Oryza sativa Japonica Group: one gene and its partners. The main gene of each other region encodes a partner of the protein of the gene in region 2 in a complex. Links are inferred from orthologs where the notes say so. Each region holds a gene or a part of one and is shown on either strand. Other genes may lie near its edges.

What was found.
Region 1: photosynthetic NDH subunit of lumenal location 5, chloroplastic (region 2) and NAD(P)H-quinone oxidoreductase subunit S, chloroplastic share a complex: the UniProt entries of both Arabidopsis thaliana proteins name them as parts of the chloroplast NDH complex. The link is inferred for Oryza sativa Japonica Group from reciprocal best matches to the Arabidopsis thaliana genes Pnsl5 and NdhS.
Region 3: photosynthetic NDH subunit of lumenal location 5, chloroplastic (region 2) and nAD(P)H-quinone oxidoreductase subunit M, chloroplastic share a complex: the UniProt entries of both Arabidopsis thaliana proteins name them as parts of the chloroplast NDH complex. The link is inferred for Oryza sativa Japonica Group from reciprocal best matches to the Arabidopsis thaliana genes Pnsl5 and NdhM.
Region 4: photosynthetic NDH subunit of lumenal location 5, chloroplastic (region 2) and NAD(P)H-quinone oxidoreductase subunit O, chloroplastic share a complex: the UniProt entries of both Arabidopsis thaliana proteins name them as parts of the chloroplast NDH complex. The link is inferred for Oryza sativa Japonica Group from reciprocal best matches to the Arabidopsis thaliana genes Pnsl5 and NdhO.
Region 5: photosynthetic NDH subunit of lumenal location 5, chloroplastic (region 2) and photosynthetic NDH subunit of lumenal location 4, chloroplastic share a complex: the UniProt entries of both Arabidopsis thaliana proteins name them as parts of the chloroplast NDH complex. The link is inferred for Oryza sativa Japonica Group from reciprocal best matches to the Arabidopsis thaliana genes Pnsl5 and PnsL4.
Region 6: photosynthetic NDH subunit of lumenal location 5, chloroplastic (region 2) and photosynthetic NDH subunit of lumenal location 3, chloroplastic share a complex: the UniProt entries of both Arabidopsis thaliana proteins name them as parts of the chloroplast NDH complex. The link is inferred for Oryza sativa Japonica Group from reciprocal best matches to the Arabidopsis thaliana genes Pnsl5 and PnsL3.
Region 7: photosynthetic NDH subunit of lumenal location 5, chloroplastic (region 2) and photosynthetic NDH subunit of subcomplex B 5, chloroplastic share a complex: the UniProt entries of both Arabidopsis thaliana proteins name them as parts of the chloroplast NDH complex. The link is inferred for Oryza sativa Japonica Group from reciprocal best matches to the Arabidopsis thaliana genes Pnsl5 and PnsB5.

The regions. Positions count from the first base shown.
Region 1 is NC_089041.1:5,276,820-5,279,539, reverse strand, and holds NAD(P)H-quinone oxidoreductase subunit S, chloroplastic, read left to right. Parts: upstream 1-1,166; 5' UTR 1,167-1,257; coding exon 1,258-1,995; 3' UTR 1,996-2,220; downstream 2,221-2,720. UniProt on the Arabidopsis thaliana protein: NDH shuttles electrons from NAD(P)H:plastoquinone, via FMN and iron-sulfur (Fe-S) centers, to quinones in the photosynthetic chain and possibly in a chloroplast respiratory chain.
Region 2 is NC_089039.1:192,252-196,325, reverse strand, and holds photosynthetic NDH subunit of lumenal location 5, chloroplastic, read right to left. Parts: upstream 2,801-4,074; 5' UTR 2,764-2,800; coding exon 2,734-2,763; intron 2,635-2,733; coding exon 2,446-2,634; intron 1,694-2,445; coding exon 1,543-1,693; intron 1,439-1,542; coding exon 1,350-1,438; intron 772-1,349; coding exon 717-771; intron 630-716; coding exon 544-629; intron 458-543; coding exon 305-457; 3' UTR 68-304; downstream 1-67. Other genes in the region: uncharacterized protein, read left to right, coding at 3,798-3,976. UniProt on the Arabidopsis thaliana protein: NDH shuttles electrons from NAD(P)H:plastoquinone, via FMN and iron-sulfur (Fe-S) centers, to quinones in the photosynthetic chain and possibly in a chloroplast respiratory chain.
Region 3 is NC_089038.1:27,480,408-27,483,421, reverse strand, and holds nAD(P)H-quinone oxidoreductase subunit M, chloroplastic, read right to left. Parts: upstream 1,722-3,014; 5' UTR 1,682-1,721; coding exon 1,196-1,681; intron 1,042-1,195; coding exon 865-1,041; 3' UTR 501-864; downstream 1-500. Other genes in the region: uncharacterized LOC4336531, read left to right, coding at 156-233; uncharacterized LOC4336529, read right to left, coding at 2,747-2,983. UniProt on the Arabidopsis thaliana protein: NDH shuttles electrons from NAD(P)H:plastoquinone, via FMN and iron-sulfur (Fe-S) centers, to quinones in the photosynthetic chain and possibly in a chloroplast respiratory chain.
Region 4 is NC_089035.1:42,962,867-42,966,248, reverse strand, and holds NAD(P)H-quinone oxidoreductase subunit O, chloroplastic, read right to left. Parts: upstream 1,930-3,382; 5' UTR 1,865-1,929; coding exon 1,624-1,864; intron 1,474-1,623; coding exon 1,418-1,473; intron 1,292-1,417; coding exon 1,226-1,291; intron 1,111-1,225; coding exon 1,069-1,110; intron 991-1,068; coding exon 931-990; intron 834-930; coding exon 804-833; 3' UTR 501-803; downstream 1-500. Other genes in the region: phosphatidylserine decarboxylase proenzyme 2, read left to right, coding at 2,902-3,132, 3,278-3,357. UniProt on the Arabidopsis thaliana protein: NDH shuttles electrons from NAD(P)H:plastoquinone, via FMN and iron-sulfur (Fe-S) centers, to quinones in the photosynthetic chain and possibly in a chloroplast respiratory chain.
Region 5 is NC_089036.1:32,085,142-32,088,927, reverse strand, and holds photosynthetic NDH subunit of lumenal location 4, chloroplastic, read right to left. Parts: upstream 2,395-3,786; 5' UTR 2,320-2,394; coding exon 1,918-2,319; intron 1,684-1,917; coding exon 1,591-1,683; intron 1,485-1,590; coding exon 1,424-1,484; intron 1,296-1,423; coding exon 1,227-1,295; intron 1,049-1,226; coding exon 981-1,048; 3' UTR 929-980; intron 819-928; 3' UTR 501-818; downstream 1-500. UniProt on the Arabidopsis thaliana protein: NDH shuttles electrons from NAD(P)H:plastoquinone, via FMN and iron-sulfur (Fe-S) centers, to quinones in the photosynthetic chain and possibly in a chloroplast respiratory chain.
Region 6 is NC_089041.1:312,356-315,225, reverse strand, and holds photosynthetic NDH subunit of lumenal location 3, chloroplastic, read right to left. Parts: upstream 1,561-2,870; 5' UTR 1,487-1,560; coding exon 1,219-1,486; intron 1,083-1,218; coding exon 682-1,082; 3' UTR 501-681; downstream 1-500. Other genes in the region: kinesin-like protein KIN-14N, read left to right, coding at 18-185. UniProt on the Arabidopsis thaliana protein: NDH shuttles electrons from NAD(P)H:plastoquinone, via FMN and iron-sulfur (Fe-S) centers, to quinones in the photosynthetic chain and possibly in a chloroplast respiratory chain.
Region 7 is NC_089035.1:41,427,245-41,431,235, forward strand, and holds photosynthetic NDH subunit of subcomplex B 5, chloroplastic, read left to right. Parts: upstream 1-1,191; 5' UTR 1,192-1,969; coding exon 1,970-2,251; intron 2,252-2,416; coding exon 2,417-2,471; intron 2,472-2,599; coding exon 2,600-2,668; intron 2,669-2,810; coding exon 2,811-2,869; intron 2,870-2,971; coding exon 2,972-3,208; 3' UTR 3,209-3,552; downstream 3,553-3,991. Other genes in the region: uncharacterized protein, read left to right, coding at 1-22, 282-399, 500-559, 652-762, 945-1,043; serine/threonine-protein kinase-like protein ACR4, read right to left, coding at 3,782-3,991. UniProt on the Arabidopsis thaliana protein: NDH shuttles electrons from NAD(P)H:plastoquinone, via FMN and iron-sulfur (Fe-S) centers, to quinones in the photosynthetic chain and possibly in a chloroplast respiratory chain.

The DNA of each region.
Region 1 (2,720 bases), on a different chromosome or scaffold from region 2:
TGGGCTCGTCGTCTACTCCCTCCGTCCCAAAATAACTCAATATAGGATAGGATGTTACATATTCTAAGACAACGAATCTAGATTGAGTTATTTTGTGATTCTCTCCATCCCAAAGAAACCAACCTAAGAGGGGATTTGACCCCTCCCAGTACAACGAATCTGGACACTACATCTCCTCTTAGGTTGGGTTTTTTTTTACGGAGGAAGTATTTCTTACGGATAGTAACTTTAGGGGCCTATTTATGAAAAAAAATAAAAAGGGGCTTAAATGTAAAATTTTCAGTCGAAAAACACGAGGTCCTCATCCGAAATTCCTAATTGGCGACTGGTCGCGTGCCCCCTCACCCCGCGCGGATGGACGCGTGGCGCGCGTAGGAGGGGGAGGGGGCGCGGCGGCCGCGCACAGTGGGAGGCCCGCGTTCTTTTTTTTTCGCCGGTTTTTATGGTTGTTTTCTTCGGTTCTTTGTTTTTTTAAAAAAAAAACATCACATATATAAAGTTTGTATATACAGTATACAAAGTTTATATACATACGTATATAAAGTTTATATATATGCGTATAGTGTATATATAAAATTTATATACGTGATGGTTTTCCTCTATTTTTTTTTATTTTTTAAAATGAACATATATAAAGTTTGTATATATATCATAAACTTTGTTATACGTTATATATAAACTTTTGTATATGCGTATATATTTACATATAAAATATATTTTTTAAATAGTACTAGTAGTATATAATAACAGTAGTAGTGGTGTAGTGGTCCTAGTTACCAGTACTAGTAGTACTAGTACTAGTTCTAGTTAGCTGTGTTTATTCTAGAGTAAAGTTTAGATTTTGGTTGAAATTGAAGATGATGTGACTGAAAAGTTATGTGTGTATGATAGATTGATGTGATAGAAAAGGACTGAAGTTTAGATCCAAACTTTGGATCTAAACACAGCCTTAGTAGTAGTAGTTAGTAGTACTCCAGTTACTACTACTTCCTCCGTTTTACAATGTAAGTCATTCTAGTATTTTTCATATTCATATTGATGTTAACGTGTAATAAATGCTAGAATAATTTATATTATGAAACGGAGGGAGTAGTAGTTTAAAGTAGTACAGTGGTAGTAGTACTAGTAGTACTTTAAGTATATACTGTACTCCGTATAGCAGTACCAGTCGCCCATTAGCCACCCCCGGTCCTCATCCACCTAGGCTTTAAAGGCTTCGTCACTTCCACACATCCTCTGCTCCGCTCTGCTCCACCAATGGCGCCCACCACCCCCGCCTCCTTCCTCCGCCCGCCGCCGCTGCCCCACCACCACCACCCCCGCATCGTCCGCCTGCCCCCTCCCTCGGCGACCTTCCGCGTCGCTGACCTCCTCGGCGGCCGGGGTCTCTGCAACGGCGAGGTCGGCATCCGCAAGGAGCTCGCCTCCGACTCCCCCGCCGCGCCGCCATCCACCACCACTTCTTCCGACGAGCCCGCGGAGTCGCCACCGCCGCCGCCGGCTGCGTCCGGGGTGGACCCGGACGCGTTCGACAAGGAGATGATGGGCCTCACCGGCGGATTCCCCGGCGGCGAGGTCGGCCTCAAGGACTTCGTCGCCAAGAACCCGCCTCCCCCCAAGCCGGCGCACAGGAAAGGTCTCGCCGCCGCCGCCACGGTGGAGCGGCCGAGGGCGCCGGAGCTGCCGCTGTTCCTCCCCGGGATGGTGGTGCTCGTCAAGAACCCCAACAACGCCTACCACATGTACTGCGGCATCGTGCAGCGCGTCACCGACGGCAAGGTCGGGGTGCTGTTCGAGGGGGGGATCTGGGACAGGCTCATCACCTTCGATCTCGACGAGCTCGAGGGGAGGGAGAAGGGCCCGCCCATGGTGAACCCTAAGTCCGTGCTGCTCGAGTCCCTCGCCGCGGAGATGGAGGACGATGTGGCCAAGGAGGAGGAGGGAGAGGAGGCCAAGAAGAAGAAGGAGGAGGAAGGCACCGCCGCCGCGGCTTGACCACCATTGCTGCTTCTGCTTCTTCTTGTATGTATACAGCTATCTATATTTTCTTAGATGATGGAAGTGAAAGGGGTATATATATATATATTATCTATTCGATGAGTAATTTCGAAGTGAGTAAATGTGTTGTTGTTAATTGCTATATGTACAGTTGGAATCTTAGTGTGAATTGGCACTATGAAACAAACGATTCGGAGATAAAAGTTTAGCTTCTTTGTTGAATTGCTATATGTTTGATCAATTTGATCACGTTTGGTCCGGATTGCTAGTGAAATGCCTACAAGGGCACCAGTTGCCATAGTTCATTATGTTGGTAGGATTAATTTTTTTTTTTACAAACTTGAATTATCATCTCTTGCTTCTTGAAGCGAAGAGGCTATGACAGTCAGGTAACCAGGCTTTCATGATTGTAAATTGTACAGAGTATGAATGTTCAAGTGTTCGTTATTCCTGACATGACTTCAAAATCCCGCAGTATTTCGCACAGCAACTATCTATGCATTGTAGTTTACGTTTGCCTGATAGCTGGTTTCCCATGATTTTTGTTTATTTGAAAGAGTATATGAAAAGATAGGGCCTTTACTTCTATATAACCTGCCTTACTCAGGAATAAGTGTAGCAGCAGATTTAAAAGGATGGTAAAGGAAGACAGTGAAGTAACAATAATGATATAGTGTTTTGCAAACAGAGTACAATTTGTATTGATTACCACCATCTATATC
Region 2 (4,074 bases):
TTTTTTAGGACAGAGAGAGTATGCAGCAACAAAAGGTATTGGGAAAGGAGTAACTTTAGTCTGCGTATGCACGAAAAGACAGACATTTGATCTTTCATGAACCACAACATTATTTCCTGACCCTCGACAGGTAAGAACGTTTTATTCCAGCCGAACAATAGAGGATTCTTCTCAACTTAGAAATCTTGGCCTCAACTCAGCATGATCTCTGACTGCGCGGAGAACATGCGATAAGTTCACAGCTTACTATGAAACCAAAAACAGCAAAGTCTCCGGGGGAAGAAGATTAGCCCTCTGGCACCTATTAGACCACTGGAAGCTCCCCACACTCACTGATGACCACCTTCTTCTTCGGGCGGTCCCCTCTGTCAGTCTCCTGCGATTCGATCATCTTAACGATGTCCATGCCTTCAATAACCTGCCCAAACACGACGTGCCTCCCATCCAACCAAGGTGTCTGCATTCGCAGGTAGCAGTCAGCGCAATGTAATTTTGAGTGAGTTTCGACACTAGTACACAGTGAACATATCAGTACAGTGTTACCTTGACAGTGCAGATGAAGAACTGGCTGCCATTGGTGTTTGGCCCAGCATTGGCCATGCTGACCACTCCAGGTCCAGTATGAACCACTACAAACATTACAAGACATATAATCAGCACAACCACAAGATAAGAAGCAGAAAGAACGATCAGATTAGGTCATTTGTCAGACGTACATTTGAAGTTCTCGTCTTTGAAGGTCCGGCCATATATGCTTTTCCCTCCAGTACCCTGAAATATTCATTTTTTGAAACCTACTTTATCCACATGCAGAAGTTGAAAGCTGAATGATTTGATGTAGGCTAGGTCAAAAATTCATAATTCATGAAACCAGGCAGCTGCATGATTTAATTTAGGCCATCAATTTAAAGAAAAAGGATTTGGTGCTAATCTCCTTGTAATCTAGCCATGAAGTCAATAATCACTGCATACACATTATGCTGATCACAAACTACCAATTCATACTCATAATGTACATGATGCAAAGCAGTATAATGATCTAAAACACCATAGGGCAAGCACTGAAGTGCATAACACAAAGTTGTATAATGATCCAAAACACATATATAGGTCAGCTTTCTATCCAAAACAGCATAAAGCGCTAACATTGATAAAACAAATCAAACTTTTTTTTTTTTGGAGAAATAGTTGGCTCAATGGTGATAGATAGAAACAAACACATGAGCTCATTCAGTGTTGTGAGTAATGTTACACTATGTGACTTTTTCCAATAGAGTTTGTCAGATGAAACAGAGGAACAAGTGCAACATAGGAGTAGATTATAAAGAAAGTAAATAATGAAGACATACGTTGCCCTTGTCAAAGTCTCCTCCCTGAATCATGAAGTCCTTAATGACACGGTGGAAACTGGACCCCTTGTAACCAAACCCTTTTTCTCCTGAAAAGGAAAAGGGCAATGGTATGTGTATCATGCACCAAATCTGGGTAATCCTGTAAAGTAGTAGATGACAGAAGAGAAGAAAAGCAAGAAGCCCTTTGTACCAGTGCAAAGAGCACGGAAGTTCTCTGCGGTCTGGGGAACATCATCCCCGTATAGGCCAATAACGACCCTCCCAACGTTCTTCCCAACAGGGTTTCCGATGCTTATGTCAAAGTACACCTTGTTTGTGATTTTGGACTGGAGGTCCACTTCCTGCAATGTATGGGAGAAGTTTAGCAAAACTGAAAGAATAAATTTGAAGCGTGGTATCCAGTTCTCCCACATAGGGTAAGAATAATCGATACTTGCGCTGTTCTTTTATGTATGATGTTAATTGAACTAACCAACGTCATATATTAAAGGAAGGAGGTAGTATATCGTAAGTTAACATCTAGTGGAGGAAAACATGAAAGCGCATAGTGCACATGGGAAAGGAAAACCCAGCTTTCAGTAGTACAGAAGGGCACACGTGTTTCCTCACAATGTTGCAGGCAGTCACTGATGATGAATAACGTGTTTACATTCGGTGCACATACAAGGTAAGACCTGTAAGTAGCAGAACCCTATGGTCGAGGCAACTAAAATTATTAATCAGAGCAGGTGAATACATAATAAAGCATTGGTGATGATAAGCCTGAAACTGCAATTTTGGTAGCATAAATTTCACCTGGTGATTTAAAAATCTGATAACAAAATTTGACATACAAAGGCATTACTAGTATTAGTTTTAATTTAATGGTGTTGGAAGGTCGAGGTCATCTGTGCTAACCCAATATCTCTTCCTCCAAAGAGGCAACAAACAGGGGCCGGTATTGCGGAGGCTGATTGCATAATAATAGTCCAGTAAGGTGGAGTAGTAAATTTGACTGATATACTACTAGACAGGATTACAAGAATGGATGCGGTGCGGCAATAGAAAGATATATGTAGGGCAGATAAAAGAAGAAGATCCGGGGACACAGTACCTTGGGGTCAGCGGTGGCGGAGGAGACGAAGCGCGCGCGGCTGTGAGCAGCGGAAAGCGCAGGAGTGAAACCTCCAAAGACGGCCGATGAGGGGAGGCGTGCGGTGCCGGTGCCGGTGCGGATGGAGAGGAGCGGCGAGGGGGTTTTGGAGGCGAGGAGGGCCCGCTCCGCCGCCGGCCGCGCGATGGCCTGCAGTGCAAACACAAGAGAAGAAAGAGCGACGATAATAAGATTGAGAGCTCGGTGGGGAAGAAGAGGAGAGCAGAGGCCATGGATGAGTGAGCTTACGAGTGTGGCGAAGGAGGTTGCGACCGCCATTGTTGATGTTGAGGAGGAGACCCTTTCTCTCTCTCTCGCTCAGGTGGATTGGGATTGGATAGGTAGATAGGGCATTGCACTGGGATGAATGGATGGCATTTTTGCATATGTGTGCACAGGAAATACAATAATCACACACACCTTCTTCATTGGGGGAAGTACTATATTTTATTTTTGGGACCAAAAGCATCTGTTAAATCAACTCTATTTGTCCCAATCCAACTATTTAAAATTTATTTATTTACAGTGTCTCTTTCTATAATATATCGGTAAGTTATCAATTATTATACAATATACCATCGGACTATACTATTTTCAAAAATACCTAAAATACACCATATAAGGTTAATATTTGATTTATCCTACCATAAGTTTCAGAAGAAAAAAAATGCTAGTTTATGCACTAGTTTTAAGATTTTACATTTTTATATTTTTTTAAAAAAAATTATTTATCCATTATATACTGCAAGAATTTTTTTTTTGCTGTTTTTAATGTAACTTTTTTCGAGAACATACCTCATTTCTAATGTAAATTATCTTTTGCGTAAGTAATTTCTCTCTCATAAAAAACTCAAAAATATTTTTTTTAAAAAAGTGAAAACTTGAAATTTATATATAAACTTTCATGTTGGGTAAGTAAGCTACATAAACAATTCATATTTTTAAACCCTTAGATGAATAAATTAATTGTTAACCTTATATGTATTTTGAGTATTTTTTAAAACTAGGACCTGAGTAAATATTTTTCTTGAGTTTTAGGTTATAAGACTTCACATTCATATATGTCTAGATCTATTAACACATATATAAATATGGACAATGCTAAAAAATAAGAATAGGAGGTGGTATTATTTTTTTTTTGGTAGAGAGGGGAGGGGGCCGCATAGGAGGCAGGAGGTAGTAAAATGGGCTGATGGGCATAGTATTCACGGGGGCCCATGTAATAGATGGGATGGGCTTGAACACACATGTAATGTAACAATAGCCTCGGTCGAGGTGAGGTGGAAGAAGCAAAGCAATCTCCGTGAGCGGTGATGGCGCAGCAGTGGCGATCTCTCCTCTTCCTCCTCCTCCTCCTCCTCGTGCCCTTCGCCGCCGCCGCCGGGCAGGATGCGCCGTTCGTGGTAGCACAGAAGAAGGTTGCGCTGTCCCGCCCGGGTCCAGGCGTGGAGCGCCTCGCCGTCACCCTCAACCTCTACAACCAGGGTTCCGCGTCAGTCCCCTCCCCATCTCATCTCCCTCTTCCCCCAGATTTAGATCCACATCTCTCTCTCCCTCTCTTCACTTTGTTAACCTATTATTGCTCTATCC
Region 3 (3,014 bases), on a different chromosome or scaffold from region 2:
CTGCGTGGAATTGTACTCTGCAGTTTAGTACAACACAACTACCTAAGTAGCATGATGACATTAGTACTTAATGCAGCGATGGCATTTTTCTAAAAAAAGATTGAGATGCAGTTTTGTAATTGGCAATTTTTGAATTGTATGACACTCTTTTGCAGAATAATGCACATGAAGATCAATTCAGGCCATGGGTTGATGTTTCTAAAGACCACGAGGTTATTCCTTTGATCGATTGAGATTTACACATTGCAGCTGGTCAAACCCTCAAGTCCAAAACATTAAACATCTATTTGCGGGAATGACTCTCTTAAGGGTGACGTAATGTCATCAGCAGAGATTGTCTCGTATCTATATGGAATGAGATAAATAAATATATTGCCAATGATCGAGAAATAATTCCCTATTGGAATATGCGCACATCCTCTTTGCAAATAATTTAACATTGAGTTTTGCCTGTGAATTTGAGGGCTGGATTCCATGTTCTACCTGATCTCACCATCATAAAGCAATAAAGCAGTGGTGTTATTTCAATGTGATTGGATTACCTGAAGTATCGACATTTTCACACCGCTAATACTCAGCAAAAACCATAGAACGGAAATGCCATGAAACTAGAGTGCTAGACCCTTCCTTAGTCTTCACGACAGGGTAATACCCTCAGTTTGCTCAGCTTCTCTTTATGTAACCATGTTGGAGTCGACAAAATTATTATCGACTGTGAATGTTCTGCTTTTGTATGAACCCGATTTGAGTTCGGAAATACCCTAGCTCATGGCTCTTCTGGAAGAGCAAAATATACATTGGGCATCTTTGAACGGGAAAATCATTGATAGTTACATGCTTTCTCTTTAGGGTACAACACGCATTCTATTTTACATCTGGGATCTGGCTGCTGTTGAATTTGATCCTTGGTTTGCCCATGCTGAAATTGAGGACTCTAGACATCATGTTGTACTTTATCTCCCCATCGTATAGCAGTTTGCGGATGAAGTGCTCAAGATCAGATCCGATCAAACGAAGCGTGTACTCTGACAGCTCCGCGCCCTGTAAATTCAATCCAGGTCAGTTAAGCAGGTACTACCAATTAAGCTCTTACAACTAACATTTCCACCTGGAGAAAGAGACCATGGGTGTACACTACTGCTACCCTGCATTTGCAATTGCCAATTCTGCCTATGAGTTACGGTGCGTAGTATACCTCGTAGTGATCGACGAGGTCCTGGAACTCGTCGTAGACCTTCTGGCACGTCTCGTCGGTCCAGACGAACTCGTCGGTGGGGTCGAGGAGGAGGGTGAGCTTGTCCATCTGCGTCTGGTCGAAGGCGTTGGTCTCCGGGTTGATGTACGCGGCGTAGATGCGGATGTGCCGCGTCGTGCAACTCAGCCACTGCCCGCCGTACTCCCGGCTCATGTTCTTGCTCTCCGCCAGCGGCTGCACCGGCAGCGGCTGCGCCGGCCCCTGCCTCCTCGTCTTCCGCTCCCGCCTCTGCTCCTCCTCCTGCGGCGGCGGCGGCAGGTTTTCCACCGCCGCCTCCTCCTCCTCCTCTTTCACCTGCTGCTGCTGATCTTGGGCTCGCACCGGCGGGAACCTGACGCTTCGTCGCGCCGTCCACGTCGCGCGCGGGAGCCGGCGCTCGAGCGACAGCTTGGCCGGGGACAGGAACGGGGACGCCGTGGTTGCCATGCTGCGCGCAGCTGTTTCGCTTGGCTTTGGCTTGGCTTGTGTTTGTGTTGCGTGGGTGGTGGTGGTTTTTTTAGGTTTGCTGCGCCTGCGCGCGCGCGGCTAAGCTGCCGTGCCGTGCCGCCTTGGAGCCACTGGCTGTGTGTGGCTTGTGTGGATAAGGGCTATTTCTGGCACTGGGTTTCAGCGACTCGTACATGTTCTGGGCCAATTGACCACACAAATGTATTGGGCTGTGGACGTTGGCACGGCCTGTTGCATTGCATGACAGAGCTGAGCAGCACGCGCTCTCGTGTGGTATGGATAAATACTGTTGCATTTCTGACAAAACTTTGTATGTGACTGTTTTTTTATAACTCCATGTGGTGTGACGGTGATTTCATACTTAAAGAAGTAACCCACTTTTCCTCGGCACAGCAAAAGCAGAGGATACGCATACTCCATGGCCTTTAAAATAACGAGAGTAATTTTTTTTCCTTTTCACTTTGTGATGATCGCTTCACATGAAAGGCAAAGCAAAAGCCTCTGTAGTGATTTTAAGCTTTCTCAGGCGGGAAAAGTCTGTTCAGGATTACTCCATCCGTCCTATTTTAAGTGCAACCATAAATTTCCGTGTCTAACTTTGATCATCCGTCTTATTTGAAAATTTTTTATAATTAGTATTTTTGTTGTTGTTATGTGATGATACAACATGAATAGCACTTTACCCGTGACTTATGTTTTTAATTTTTTTTAAATAAGACGGACCGTTAAAATTAGGCGCGGAAAATCATGGCTACACTTAAAATGGGACGAACAGAGTAAAATACTTGGGAGACATGTACGTCGTACACCGGAGACTTGGAACACTTAAAACACTTTATTATATATAAACAACTTGTTCATATATATATATATATATATTGGGCAGTAATGTAATCTTGGCAGCAATCAATTACTACAACTAACGTGTATGCATGGTGCAGCAAATAGAATACTTACAACTAACGTACGAATGAACCAATTCAAACGAATGAAATTTAATCATGTATTTATGTACAAAGGAGAGACATAAGAACGTAGCTCGAGCTAGCCATGGACATTGGTCTGCATCGCCGGCGGCAGCAGCTCAGGAAGCCCGGGCGTCGATGCAACGATGAGGGGTATCACGGGGAGGTTCTCGCAGTTGCAGACCTCGATCATATTGCCGTCGGGGTCGTGGAAGAAGAGCTGGTCCACCACCGTCTCCCCGTCCCACACTTTCCTCACGACGAACTCCCGGTCCATGGCTCGTAGCCTCGCCTTCATGACCGCCATGTCTGAGCACTGCCATTCGCTCAAATCGAGTTAAGACAAA
Region 4 (3,382 bases), on a different chromosome or scaffold from region 2:
ATTAACTCGTAAAAATAACATGCGTTCCAAAAGAGCTTCATAACAAAACAAGGTGGTAATAACATGTGATTAATTAAGTTTTAATTATTACAAATTTAAAAACTAGATTAATCTAATATTTTAGAACAACTTTCGTATAGAAAGTTTTCGCACGAAACACACCGTTTAACAGTTTGAAAAGCGTGCCACGAATATCAAAAAAAAAATATCCTCTCTTCCTAGAGGATTCAAACGGGGCCTAGTGATGGATTTGTGCGTACAGAAGAAGTATGTTCATTAGAGTTTAAATTCTGATATCCGCAGTTACACGTACAATGAGTATTCTTTCAGTAGAACTTTTAGTTATTTCATGCATTACGAACGTGTTTAAAAGAGACGTTCTCATGGGTATGTGCATCCGTTAGCCTATTCTATATCAGTATATCTCTAACATTTTTTTTTTGAAGCTTACAGAATACGATCAGATGGCACGATAATTAGCCATCTCAAAAAATGAATCTGAATAGCTCTGAATATCATCACTTAACTTTTGTTAAATTTTTCAGTTCAGTATAATTAATTTAGATGCGGAGCAACAGGCAACAGCAAATCGCCTCATATTGACATCTATATACAACACATTGTCATATATCACGAACCGACTGAAAACATCTGCAGATTAATCGTCGGAAGAACCGAAATAGGGGAAGAATCTGCAATGCAGGGAAGAAAACAACTGAAAAAACGCTAGTCTGGCAGGCCAAGGACCGATCTCCCACCCGATTGCTGAGCTAGCTTGAACGCAACCTTCGATCCTGTGCATATCATATTCTCTCGTAGTCGAGTTTATCCGACTGTAAAAATAGTGTTAAGATTAAGTGGTCAAATGATGGTACATTCTGCATTTTGGCAATGCTGCATGTGTGATGGACTTAGAGATACTGTAATTACCTTGATGAGCATGTAAGTTGGCAGCCATGCCGGTGGAGTTGGGATTCCAACCCAAGCGATCTGTCCAAACATATGAATGAGATTCAGAAGTCCAAATCTACAAAATATACAGAAGAAATGAAGTGGCAGGTGACTCACCAGGGCATACTCCCCTGTTTCAAAGATTCTGATGTCCAAAACCTGCACGGTAATGACGAACAAGATTATGACCGTAGCTAGAACGAAGATGTTCTTACTGCTAGGTTTAATTAGCTGAAATTAACTTCAGGTTCAGTAAGATGGGCTAAATAATTACCTCGCCACGGTCCTCGTATATGTAGTCTAGCCCCTTGAAGAAAGGCGGGTGTCCAACTGACAGATACTGAATCAATGAAACAAATTTTTAAAAAAAATCATGTGCAGGGGAGGAAATCATAGACTGAAATTACAGCACAAAGAGTAGAAATGAATGAAGCATCTATGCAGTAGCATCGATCAGTGTGCTTACGTTGATGCTGTTCAAGTACTTCTCCTTGTCGACGCGCACAATCTGGCCCTTCTTCACTGTGGCGCATCATCAACCAAATCAATTGGATGAAAATAAATGGATTGGTTAATCAAGTATAAACAAAAAAACAAACAAGAAGCTAAATGGCTTTGATGCTTGTTCAGAACTCAGAGCTGAAATGCAAAGTTGCAAAGCGTATTCATTACTCGAGTAGACAGGTTTCTTCTTGAGGATCTTCTTCGGCGCCGGCGCAGCCGCCTGGCCGTCTCCCGCCGCCGCCGCGGCGCCGCCGGTGGCGGGCTTTTTCTCCTCCCCGGCCGGCTCGGCGGCGGCGGCGGCCGCCTTGACAGGAGAAGCAACACGTCTCCTCCTCCTGGCTGACGCCGGCCAGCACGCGGTTGGCGTGACGGAGAAGAGAGCGCGCGGCGAGGAGAGGAGAGCTTCCATGGCGAGAAGCTTAGCTTTGGCAATGGCAATGGCAAAAAGCAAAGTGACGAAGTGCACGTAAATATGTGCCACATGAATTGCACGCGGCAGATAAGGTGACCACTGGGCCTGAGCTAGCGCTCTCAGTTTTGGGCCAACTGTCACAAAGCTTCAGGCCCAGCTCACCTCATTTGGGTAAGGCCCATATATGATGATTATATTATATGAATGAATTAGCAAAAGAAAAGAGAGAGAGAGATAGACAGAAAAAATAAAGGAGAATTGGAGGAGTCAAGGTCATGGATCATGACACCGTCTTAGATTGTTGTATGCTCGACCTCAGCGAATGAGCGAGCAAATGAGGAATTCCGCTTTAGTTTTATGTCGCTATTTAGCTTGGAAAGAGTAAACAACAGCGGCAAGTGGAAGGGAGAAAAGCGTTGAGAGCAATGCAAAGCCTAGCTTAAGCTTAGGAGGACACCCCCCCCCCCTTTTTTTTTTTTTTTGCAATGGTCATCTTCTACCTTTGCTTCTGCTGGTTTGTGGCACTTGTCGTAACATGCACAATTGACCGATGCCAAGGATCCTTCCTCCTCAAATGAATCCACCGCGTTTTCAACGTCCCCATCCATCCATGATCCATCCCATTTGACCTCTACTTTAGCAAAACATAGCAACCCTTCGAAAATATTCGATCAAACCGGCCCCACGCGTACCATTATTTTGTCTTGCGACGGTTGCGCTGGAAAAAAGCAAAAAAAAATCATGAATCTTCTTCCGCATGTCCAGGTAGTGAATGATCCGAGCATATCCTGGCCCCACATGTCAGTCTAACGAACACCCAGGCGACTCCTGCTTGGGTACGGCCTTTTGCCTTTCCCAGATGTATAACAACTGCCATGTGGAAACTGCCATTAATTATTATCTGTATGACATGTGGGGACCACCCGATGACCCTTCCTCCTACTCTGCCTCGCGTTTAAAAGGTCATCGCCTTTCAAGTCTCTCGCTGCGCCTGCGCGTTGCCGTCGAGTCCAACTACTCCATCTCACTGACAGATGGGCCATTCGCCCTCGCGCCACAATGCATGCGGCGGCGGCGGCGGCGACGGCGAGTCGCCGCCCTCGCCGCTGCCGTCTCGCTTCGAGCGGTTCCGCCGCCGCCTCCGCCTGCGCCACCGCGACCGCGCGGGGCGTCCCGGTGGCGACGCCCACGCCTCCGAGTCGGGGACGGGGAGGGCCATCGCCGTCGACGAGTTCGCCGGCATCGCGCGCATCCGGATAGTGAAGGTACGGGGCCGGGTTGGGTGTGTGTGCTTGCGGCTGCGAAGCGGAGGGGGGTGGAATTGGGGATCGGTGGTTTTGATTCATTCCGTCTGTGTACGCTGCTGCTGTGGTTTTGTACGCGTTGTTTTGATTTGGTTGGTGGCCACAGGCGGATATGCAGTTCAAGGACAAGTTCATCGCGTGCCTCTCGCTGGGCGAGCGCACGTACCGCACCGAGAAGTCTGACAAGTTGAGCATATTTTTCATCTAATAT
Region 5 (3,786 bases), on a different chromosome or scaffold from region 2:
AATTTCATGACACCGAGCAGCATTCAGAGCATCTGACGAAAAAGGTTTTCGTTTTAAACCGACAAGAAGCTTTTGGAATTCTTGAGTCTTCCTGCCACGGAAATGGCAGCTCTCCTTTTCTTCCCTCATTCACCTACCAGTTCTGGCTCTGAACCGGTCAATCGATAGTTCAACTCTCACGATTTGGGTGTTCTTTGGTTTCATAAAAGGATTTTAGGATATTCTCTGAAGTCTGAACAATGCATGTTTCGATTTGATGGTTAACAAACCTATGATTAAATTATCTTGTGGCAATACTGCAGTGCAGACAGCAGTCAAAGGCTCAAAGCTACTACTGCACATGTGCTTTGACACGAACTTTCGACATTTTTTTGAGTACATTAGTATTGATACAGTCGATTAGCTTGCTTGAACTGTTGAAGGTTTGGAAGTCACCAGTCAATCGATATTCAGTCAGAGTTCAACTTCATTTAGTTAGGACTTGCCACAAAGGATGGGAATTTTTGTTGTGTTTGGCTGTACCAATGACAGTATGAATAATGAGACATGTCTTTACAACGTTATACTTACACAAACACAAGACTTTTCTTCTCTAGAAAACATAAGACCAATTTGATAGTATATCAGAGGACCGGTTTGTTATATATCCTTTCACTTCTTGGTACAGATTGCAAATGTAGTACTCTGCGTATTGGAGACCCAAGGAGCTCCGGTGACGCATTTGCTTTCGGCGTCTGGGCTTAGGCATGTCGCACCCTTTCTCTTCATCTGTCCGTAGTCCCGCCTCTTGTATGAAACGCCAAAATTTACTCGAAAATCTGCCAGAGAATGTAACATGCTTATGTAACAAACAACAACCCCTTTAGGCAAGGGATACTGTTTTCAGATGAAAAAAAAATCAGACAGGTTCAGAATACCACCACCATACCTTGTTTGCACCTAGTCTGTTCAAGTCATGCATATTCCTTTTCATCATATGCTCACTTGTAAAATCCAACCAGGAAGATGTCGTATAGGAGTGTGGTGTTGCCGGGAATATTACAGTCTCCTGTTAAATAAGTAAATCTTCTGTAAATTTGTATATTTTTTCTAGCGAATGCTAATAAGGGAGCCAGACAGATAGCACTGAAACATCGTTAAATACATGAAACTTAATCTGGTCTCAAATTTCTAGAATTAAATTAAGATTACTTGTTTGATTACTTTTTTTTTTCTTTCGTTATTACCTGAGAAGCAACCTGCTGGTTCAGGTCCGTATGCCAAAGTTGCAGGTATCATAAGCTTGCGCTTTCCACCTGTAATGTTATTGCGATTTTCAACAGAGACACGATGTGATTAAGAAAAATAAAAGCAGTACTATATTTTTAGCATTTGACACACAAAGAGATGCATATGCTTATTATTTCTGGATTTCTGACAGTACCAACGAGCATGGGTGGCACACCACCGCCACCACTGATTCCCTGTTCAAGCCCTCGGAGGATCTGAGAATGAAAATGCGAACGAACCAAACAATAAGATTCCTTGCATAACTACATAAGATGCTTGCTACGATCGAAGATGTACGTGCAATGAACAAAAGCTGCGCACCTTGCCTGCGCCAAGGCGCATTGTCAGTGGCCGTCCTCGCTTGTAGGTGCTGTCGAACACTATCCCGTCAGTAAATCTTGCAGTGTAGTGTACCTTACAACCATGAACACAACTCCAATTAACACACTTGAAACTCCTATCAGTGTCATGGCGAGAAAAAAATGGCAGGTTTATTCGTTGTCGAACTAACTAAAGGATCGGTACTGATGCAAATTGGGCAAATTTATGATCTGCCAATGCTTAATTACTCCATACAGGAGTTAATCATATTCAGAAAACACAGGTTCTTCTAGAGAAAGTGCGAGAAACTCTTCTGTCGGAACTGACATTTATGAGCTGGCCGCGCGGGGGCTGGGCGCCGGTGCCGACTTCGACGTCGCAGTAGCCGAGCCCCGACTTGACGACGTTCATGTCGCACAGCTTGTCCCCCACCGTCGCGTAGTACTCGATGCGCGTCGCTCCGGCGTCGCCGGCGGGGCACAGAAGCCCAGGGGAAGCCAGGAACCCCGCGCCCAGCGCGAGCAGCCCCCTCCTGCCGGCCGACGTCGCCACCGGGAGACTCCAGGCAGCCGAGCACGAGGTCGACGACGGGGAGGAGGAGGAGGAGCTGCTGCTGCTGTTGCTGCACGCCGCGACGGTGAGCGGCCTGCCCGGTTTGGCGACCGGAGGCGACGGGATTGGGTTGGAGGCCATGAGCGAGAGGGAGGAGGAGATAGGAGGAGGCGCCATCGGTGAGTGAGTCACTTGGGGAGTAGAGAATCGGATTATCCCCAAACTGTGGCTGCTGCAACGCGGGCACCTCTCTGTCGCGTCGTTATAAACGCCCGCGTACGTCGTCACGGGCCATGGGCTTTCCCAACTCAACACCCGAGGACCGAGGAAGGAATCCTCGTTTTTTTTGCGGGCCAAGCCGCGTGTCTCGTCGCCAAACGGCGGCCGTGGCCCGTGGAACGACAGATGATTCCAGGAAAAAGTACACCGAAGGTCCCTCAACTTGTCATCGAGTTACAAAATCGTTTCCCAACCGCAAAACCAGATATCAGGCGTTCCTCAACTAACAAAACCGTTCACTTTAGATCCTTCGGTGGTTTTGACCCCGGTTTTATTTGACGTGACGGCTGAGTCAGCGCGTGGGTCCCACATGTAAGATGCCATATCATCACCTCTCTCTTATTTCCCATTTTCCCCTCCTCTCCCTCCCTCTCTCTCTTCTCAGGGCGGCCAGCGGGTGCGGATTGCGGAGGAGGCTGGTAGGGCAGCTGGCGACGGGTGGCGATGTGGCAACTTGGTGCGGCACCGACGAGGATGGGGTTGGCCTGCAGCCAGAACGCCGCCATCCCCCACAGCTCCCGCAGCGAGCGTATGCTAAGAGGGAGGAGGCGGGGAGGCCGGCAGCGAGTGCATACGAAGAGGGAGGAGGCGGGGAGGGGTTGGAGGTGGGATGAGGGCGAGCTCGCCGGCCTCCCCGCCCCCCTCGCCAGACCTGCTGTAGCGCCCGTTCCGTCGTGGCGCCTAGCGGGGAAATTATCTCTTAAAAACCCTAATTGCGAAATTTGTTTCTTTGCTTGTTGTCTAGTATCCGTGCCATCTCAAGATCTCAATCCCCGATCTATCGTCGAGTTCAATTCCGAATCCAATCCCTCCAAATCAAATTCCTCCGCAAAAGTCCATTTTGCCTCCCCCAGGGTCGATGGGCCGATTTTCCCTCGGCCCATCTTCCCCTCTCTCTCCCGGCTCTCTCTCTCGCTTTCCCCGGCGCGCCCCCGCTCTCTCCCTCTCTCCCTCCGCTCCGCCCCGCGCCGCGCGCGCGAGCGCGCGTCGCCGCGCCGAGCGCCCCTCCCTCGCGCGCCACGCGCGAGCGCGAGAGCCGCGCCCTGCGCCCCTCCGCTCGGCCCCGCGAGCCAGCACGCGTAAGCCGCCCGCGCCGAGCCAAGTCCTCCCTCACCGCTCCCTCGCTGCCGCTTCCCGCGCGCTGTGTTCGCGTGCGCGCGCCCGCGCGGACGCCGCCCGTTGCAAGCCGCGCGCGCGTGCCGAGTGGTCGACCGCCCGGTCGCCGCCGCCGTCAGCCTCTGCACGCGCCTGTCGCCAATGTCGCCGCTCCGCTCCAAGCCGTCCCCCCGTCATCGTCGTCGTCATCGCCCGGCCCCCGCCACTCCGCGCGCAAGCCGCCAAGGGACGGAGCCGCGCCCCTCCTCC
Region 6 (2,870 bases), on a different chromosome or scaffold from region 2:
GTTCCCCTTGGACACAGCCATGCCTTGGAGGAGACTCGAAGACACTTATGTTTGTGAATCTGTCTCCAGAGGTGTCGTCTACAGGGGAGTCAATTTGCTCGCTACGGTTCGCAGCACGGGTGAACTCGTGCGAGATTGGCATCCCTCGTCGTCAAACCCAAGTGCGTAGCTTGGCGCAAGGATGAGTTGGCTTGGACAAAATGAATGTCCATGACTAATTGTATTTGTGTGTTGTTTGAGGGATGCAATGGATCATTTGCATCCCCTCCGTGTGTTGGTTGCTTAGAGGGTGTGTATAATATTCTGATTTGGCATGTGGCTTTGTTGATTGTACGAGCATCGCATTGCATTACATTACAGATAGTACTGTAGTATCTAATTTGTGGCTGCATCAATGTGCAGTGGTAGTAACAAGATGTGAGGTTGGTTGTATTTTATTGGAGAAGTGCCCTGTGTTGTGTTGGGCTGGCTTTGTTTGGATGATAAAGACAGACAAGTAATTGGAATTGAAATGCTCTGTTGCTTTTTAGTACTTACTGAGTATGAAGTTATATTGCATAGCGTAGATGTGAATATGAATATGTGTGTGATGAGGAGGATATATATATATATATATATATATGTATGTATGACAAGTAAAGTGAGAGAAATACAGTACTAGCTAGTACACCAACAGAAACACTAGGCCATCTTTGCCATGACCTCCTGGAGGATGATCTTGGTGTCGGCATAGGAGGAGCCGATCTGGGTGTCGTCCTTGGTGCCGCAGGCCTTCTGGAGGCGCTCGAAGCTGTCGAAGAGGCGGGTGGCGAGGTCGAGCAGCGGGGGGCGCTGGTCGTCGGAGGCGGCGGAGATGAGCTTGTCGAAGTCGAAGTACATGAAGGTGGACTTGAGGCGGAGGTACTTGGTGACGTAGTTGGCCCTGTCGGCGTTGTTGCCCAGCAGGTCCTCCAGCGCCAGCAGGTCGAACGCCGTGCTCCGCAGCCTGTACGCGTGCGCCGCGTAGCTCGGCCCGATGTCGGCTATGTAGATGCCGTTCCTCACGAACGTCCGGCTCCCCGTCTCGCCATTGTTCAGCTCCTCTGCACACACAATATATATATATATATATATATATATATATATATATATATATATATATATATATATATATATATATATTGCAATCACTATATTTATATATTTTGTGTGTGTAATGGTAATTAATTTACTACTCACTGTTGACAATCTTTGGCACCGGCAAAGGGAACTCGGTGAGCCACCACCCATTGTTTGCCGGCTCGTCGTCGGTGGCGGCGCAGGCGGGATGATGCTGGAAGATGGTGGCGGCGGCGGCTGCGAGGCCGACGGAGAGGCAGGCTGATCTCCGTCCGCCAGTGGAGCACGCCGCCACGAGGAGGAGCAGCCTCCGTGGTGTTGGCCGGAGGAGGCGGCTGGTGCTGGCAGTGGCGGCGGTGAGGCCTGCTGATTGGAGATAAGTGGCCATCGAGGATGTGTGTCAGTGTAGCAAGGGAATGAATGGATAGCGCGCGATGCCACGAGAGGATGAGGAAAACCTTCGCCTTTGCAAAAGTGCACCACATAGATATTTCTCTCGGTTTGATGGGGCTGCCTCTCCTAGGGGCCGACAGAATGGCTGCATGAAGGAATTAGTCTAACTTGCCTCCCTCCTCTCTCGCTCTTGATTGAATCGTCTCTCTTAACCGCTAAACCTGGTATAATGCCTCCACCATCTTCTTATTCTGCAGGAGGTGATTCAGTGATTTTGAGTTAGTTTGTTTCGTTTTCCACGCACACACTTCCCGAATACTAAACGGTGTGTTTGTAAAAATTTTCTATACGAAAGTTGCTTTAAAAAATCATATTAATCAATTTTTTAAGTTTAAAATAGTTTATACTCAATTAATCATGTGCTAATGTCTCACCTCGTTTTGTGTATCTTCTCAATCTTCTCTCTTCCTCCTCTCAATCTGGTGCAAACCAAGGCATTTACATGTGGTTAGGGGTGGACAGAAAGCTTGTGGTTCGTTAGCTCACTCGGCTCGTGACAGGCTCGACTTGGCTTGTCTCGTTTGAATTTCCTAACGAGCCGAGCTGGCATCTTAGCTCGTTAGAGATAACGAGCCAGCTCGAGCTGCTCGCGAGCCTTAACGAGCTATGGGGTTACCAGGCCAAGTCAGGTCCACAGCTAACAGCACACATACATTATGGCCCATTGGCCCAATAGACTCATCAAAAAAAACCCTAGTTCACCTCAGCCTGAGACCCTGACTCCCTGTCCACCACCGTCTCGCACATATCGCATTCGCATCGCATCAGCGGCTTGGGCGCTCGGTGCATCTCGGCATCCGCATCTCGGCCATCGCCATCGGCGCTGCGCCACGCCGCCGTGTGAGCGCCATCGCCACCGCGCCAAGCCGCCGCCGCCAACCCCCATCGAGCGCCTGCCGCCGCCGCTCTCCGCCTCTCCCCCAGTGCCCGCCGTCGAGCTCGCCTCCTCCTCGTGGTCCAACCGTGAACTGTCCAAGTGTCGGCGGAGCTGTGAAGGTTGAGTTCATCCCCTCCACCATCGAGCTCCTCTCTGTAGTCGCCGTCGAGCTCAAGCTCGAGCTCGTTTTCTCCGCCGTCAAGCTCCTCCCCTCCTCCCCTAGTTGCAGACTTGAAGTGCAGGCGAGGTTGAGCTGCTTCCTATGCTCGCCGGCTATGTCTCTTGCCCCTAGCTCGTGAGCTTAACGAGCTAGCTCGAGCTTGTTGATGAGCCGAGCCGAGTCAACTCGATATCTATCCCTACATGTGATTCCATTTGTACACGTCAACAAGTTTGACCATGGTTAACTACCCCGTGAGTAGAAACTTTGCAACAATAGAAG
Region 7 (3,991 bases), on a different chromosome or scaffold from region 2:
ATTGTGCCAAGATCTATTTATCGTGAGTGCCTTGGTTGATATATTTGTTTTGATTGGGTATTCGTCTTGTCATCTTGTCGGTAATCTGCATTGTGTATATAATAGAGCAGGGACAGGGAGGATTTTTGTTTACTCATCCAGCCAGAATTACTTTAGAATACCTCCATAAAATGCAGTTTTGCTTCCCTGATTCCTTCAGCATTTTCTTATTTATGATGATACTTTATTTGCTGTATTGGTTGTATTGGACAAATTTGGTAAATAAGCTACCTTTGATTCAGGTTTCAACAGAACATGGCAACATATCAAAACCTAATAACTCAATCAATGTATGACAAACAGCTAGATAGTGGGAAAGGCACACTTCTCCATCTCTGTGATGATGTGATTCAGCAGGAAGTAGGTCTCCATATTGTAGTACTTGATTCAGAATAAGCATATCAGAGACTTGTGCTCACAATTATTTTCATCTTTGTGGTTTCTGAATTCTGATGTCCAGGTCAAGGAGATTATAATTTCCTACTATATTTTGATGGAAAATGGAAAGGCGACTATTGAGGTATTGCTTTGGTATTTGAAACAAGCATGTTTTGTTTCTGAAGTTGTGCAAGTATAAAAATTGAGTTGAATATTCTTGGCACTCAATGCTAGGATCTTGACTTACAATGTGAAGAGTTAATCCAAGAAGAGTTTGGCTTGCAATGCAATTTTGAGGTGATGGATGCTGTTCAGAAGTTAGAGAGGCTTGGCATCATTACAAGAGTGAGTTCTTACAGCTTGTTACAGCAGTACCAAATCATAGTGAGATATATATCCCCAAAAAAAACTTAGATAAATTTCAGAATGTATAGAATCTAAAAGAATTTTTAAATGAAATACCATTATGTTGTTACTCGCATTTTCTCTATTTTAATCATGGATAATAAAGCCAGTGATGCTTGCAGGATTCTATTGGAAGAATATGCTGTCTATCTCTGAAGCGTGCCAATGAGATCATTGGCGCTACTACAGAAGAGCTGGTTATGAAGGCCAGACAAAGCTAGTTATCCAATTCTATTTGAACCAGGTAATCCTTTGGTGGACTCTAGGCTTCCATCATTAGATTGTTTCTGGTTTTTTGGATGGGACATTATATTGTTTCTGGAATACTCCAAGAAGTCCTGACACTGATTTCTTTGCAGTTTAGGGGGGCAATAGGTCCTGGACGGCTGCGGAATAATTCTCCGATGGAAGTTGAGCAGATATGCTATTGTTGTTCTGTTGTAGGACCTGCTGTATTATGCAATGTTTAATGCATGTTGTAAGAAATTTAGTTTCTTCTTGGAACAAAATGTGGAAAGATTTCAGTAAAAAAAAATGTGGAAAGAGGTTCATGAACTGCTGCCTTGTTTGTTCAGTTAATGAATACTCCTACAAGAAATGCAGCAGCCTGCTAACTCAAGGCACAAGAGCCAAGTATGACGCATAAAAAGCATACTGAAGCAGTGAAAAAGCGCTGCTGATGGTGCACTGTATCTCAGCCACTGAATCAGTGACGTCCGACACAGTGACACTGGGTTGCTGGTTCTTTTTCTGCTCTTTTCATTTACAAATCATGTCCTCATGTTGCAGTTGTCTTTTCCTTGTCTCTCCTGATGTGTAAAACACAAGGCTCTGTGCTTGCTGTTGCTAACAATTCAGATTCATCAGAATGCAATAATGTAGTACTAACAAATACTAGTTCTATTCATTCACAAGATTATCATGCATATCTGACCTGATTACTGACTGACTAATGAGGTGATGCAGATTTCTTTCCAGGCATGAAGAAAAAGAAAGAAAAGAGGAAAAAAGCAGCGAAAAATCCTGGACGGTACATGCCCCATACCCATTATCCTCTTGTTTTTGTCTCCTTGCAGCAAAGTATAAGTGCAGCAGCAGCTACCAGCTAAGCAAGAAGCGAGCAGCAGAGCTCAGCGTTTGGAGCGAGATGATGAGCAGCAGCAGCAGCTTGGTGTCCGCCATTTCTGCGTCACCGTCTGCCACTGCAAAAGCTCGCCTTCGTCATGACGATGCAGCAACAGCAACAGGAGCAGCAGCAGCAGCAGCAGTAGCAGCGAGGCAGCTAAAGACGGAGCATGGCGGCTGCTGCTGCTGCCGGAGCAGAGGCCGGGCGGTGGTGGCGAGGGCGGGGCCCGGGCCACTGACGGAGATCGAGCCCGACCTGAACGAGGACCCCATTGATAAGTGGCGCACCAACGGCGTCAGCCCGGTCTGTCCTCCTCGCCGTCGCCGGCCACCGTGTTGAGAATTTCATTATTTTTCTCTATTCCAAGCAGTTTCCATGGTTTCTTTGATTCTTTCTTCAGTGATTGCTGCTGCTGTGCTGTGTTGTCTGAAGAAATGGTTTTGACACTGAAAAGAATCTGCTTTGCAGGACGACTTCGAGTATGGAGTGTATGATGGTCACCACACATATAATGAAACCCAAGGTTCTTTTTCTGGGCTATCTTATCCAGTTATCCATTCCTTGAATCAAAATGCGTAATCATGCTCATGTGTGCTAATTTCTGATTCTTATGTGATATGATGTGGAAAAAAAAATCATTTGACACTGAAGATAAGAAGGGCTTTTGGGAGGATGTCTCTGAGTGGTACCAAGAAGCTGAACCTCCTCAGGGCTTCCAAGGTAGTAACAGCCAAATTCCTTTCTCACTTGGATAAATCAGAGAAAAATCAGATTCTTTCAGATAAATCAGAGAAAAAAAATCAGATCTTTCTTCTCTTAAGACAAGCTTGCTCAATTTGCACTGATGGGCCATCTCTTGCAGCACTGATCTCCTGGTTGTTTCCTCCTGCAATCATCCTTGGCATGGCCTTCAATGTTCCGGTAACATATTGAGCAGTAGTTCCAGCCTACTGACATGTATCACATTTCACAATCTGTCTTGGCTCTTGAGCTCTCTGAATATGTGTCTACTTCTGCCACTAGGGGGAGTACCTCTACATCGGCGCAGCAGTGTTCGTCGTCGTGTTCTGCGTTATCGAGATGGACAAACCGGACAAGCCACACAACTTTGAGCCGGAGATCTACATGATGGAGAGATCGGCTCGCGACAAGCTCATCGCCGACTACAACACCATGGACATCTGGGACTTCAACGAGAAGTACGGCGAGCTCTGGGACTTCACCGTCGACAGAAGAGATGAGATTGTGAAATCGTCTTAGATATGGTATTCAGAAATGGGGGGTCACATTTGTTAGATGCAGCTGCAGAAACAGTTCAGAAAATCAGAACCACTCCAAAGAAAAGCAGGGTGGCAAAGCTGCAAGATGAGTCTCTTCAAAATAAAGAACTTTGAGATGAAATGATGTGTGTATGGATCATCTCATCTACTGTAAGGCCTGCTTTCTATGTCTCTGACAGTCTCAACTCTGAAGTTCTCAGCCAGGTACAAAAGGAGACTGAAAATTCTGTCATGTGTATTTTGTTTTCCCCCCAATGTAATGGAGAAAATCCTGTGAATGACATCACTAATTCAATAGATATATATAGTAGTATAATGGAATAACTTTGGCATCAGCCTCCAATATTATCAATATGTAAAAGAAAAGGAAATATCATTCTTTTCTTGTACAGGAAAAGGAATAAAGGGAACCTCACAGCTGTTCCTTTTTTGTACACTTGAGTTACAGCTGAATCACTATGAAGACCAAAGAAAAGAGAGAGAGAAATAATAAATGGAAAGGGAATTGCTAGTCTATAACTCTGATGATGAGAGGAAACTAGCTAGTTCTTCTTCAACCTGATGTTGTGAAGAGCTGACTACCTAGAGTCACAGTTGGTGTGCTTTCTGGCATGATTGTGGTCATCCTCATCTCTTGCTCGCGAATTCGGTTTATCTCCGCCTCCACCAAGTTCATCGATGGGCGATGCTCGCTCGTCGGGTTCACGCACCACGATGTCAACCGCAGAAATTCTCTCATGCCTTCTGAGGTATAGGCACTGGC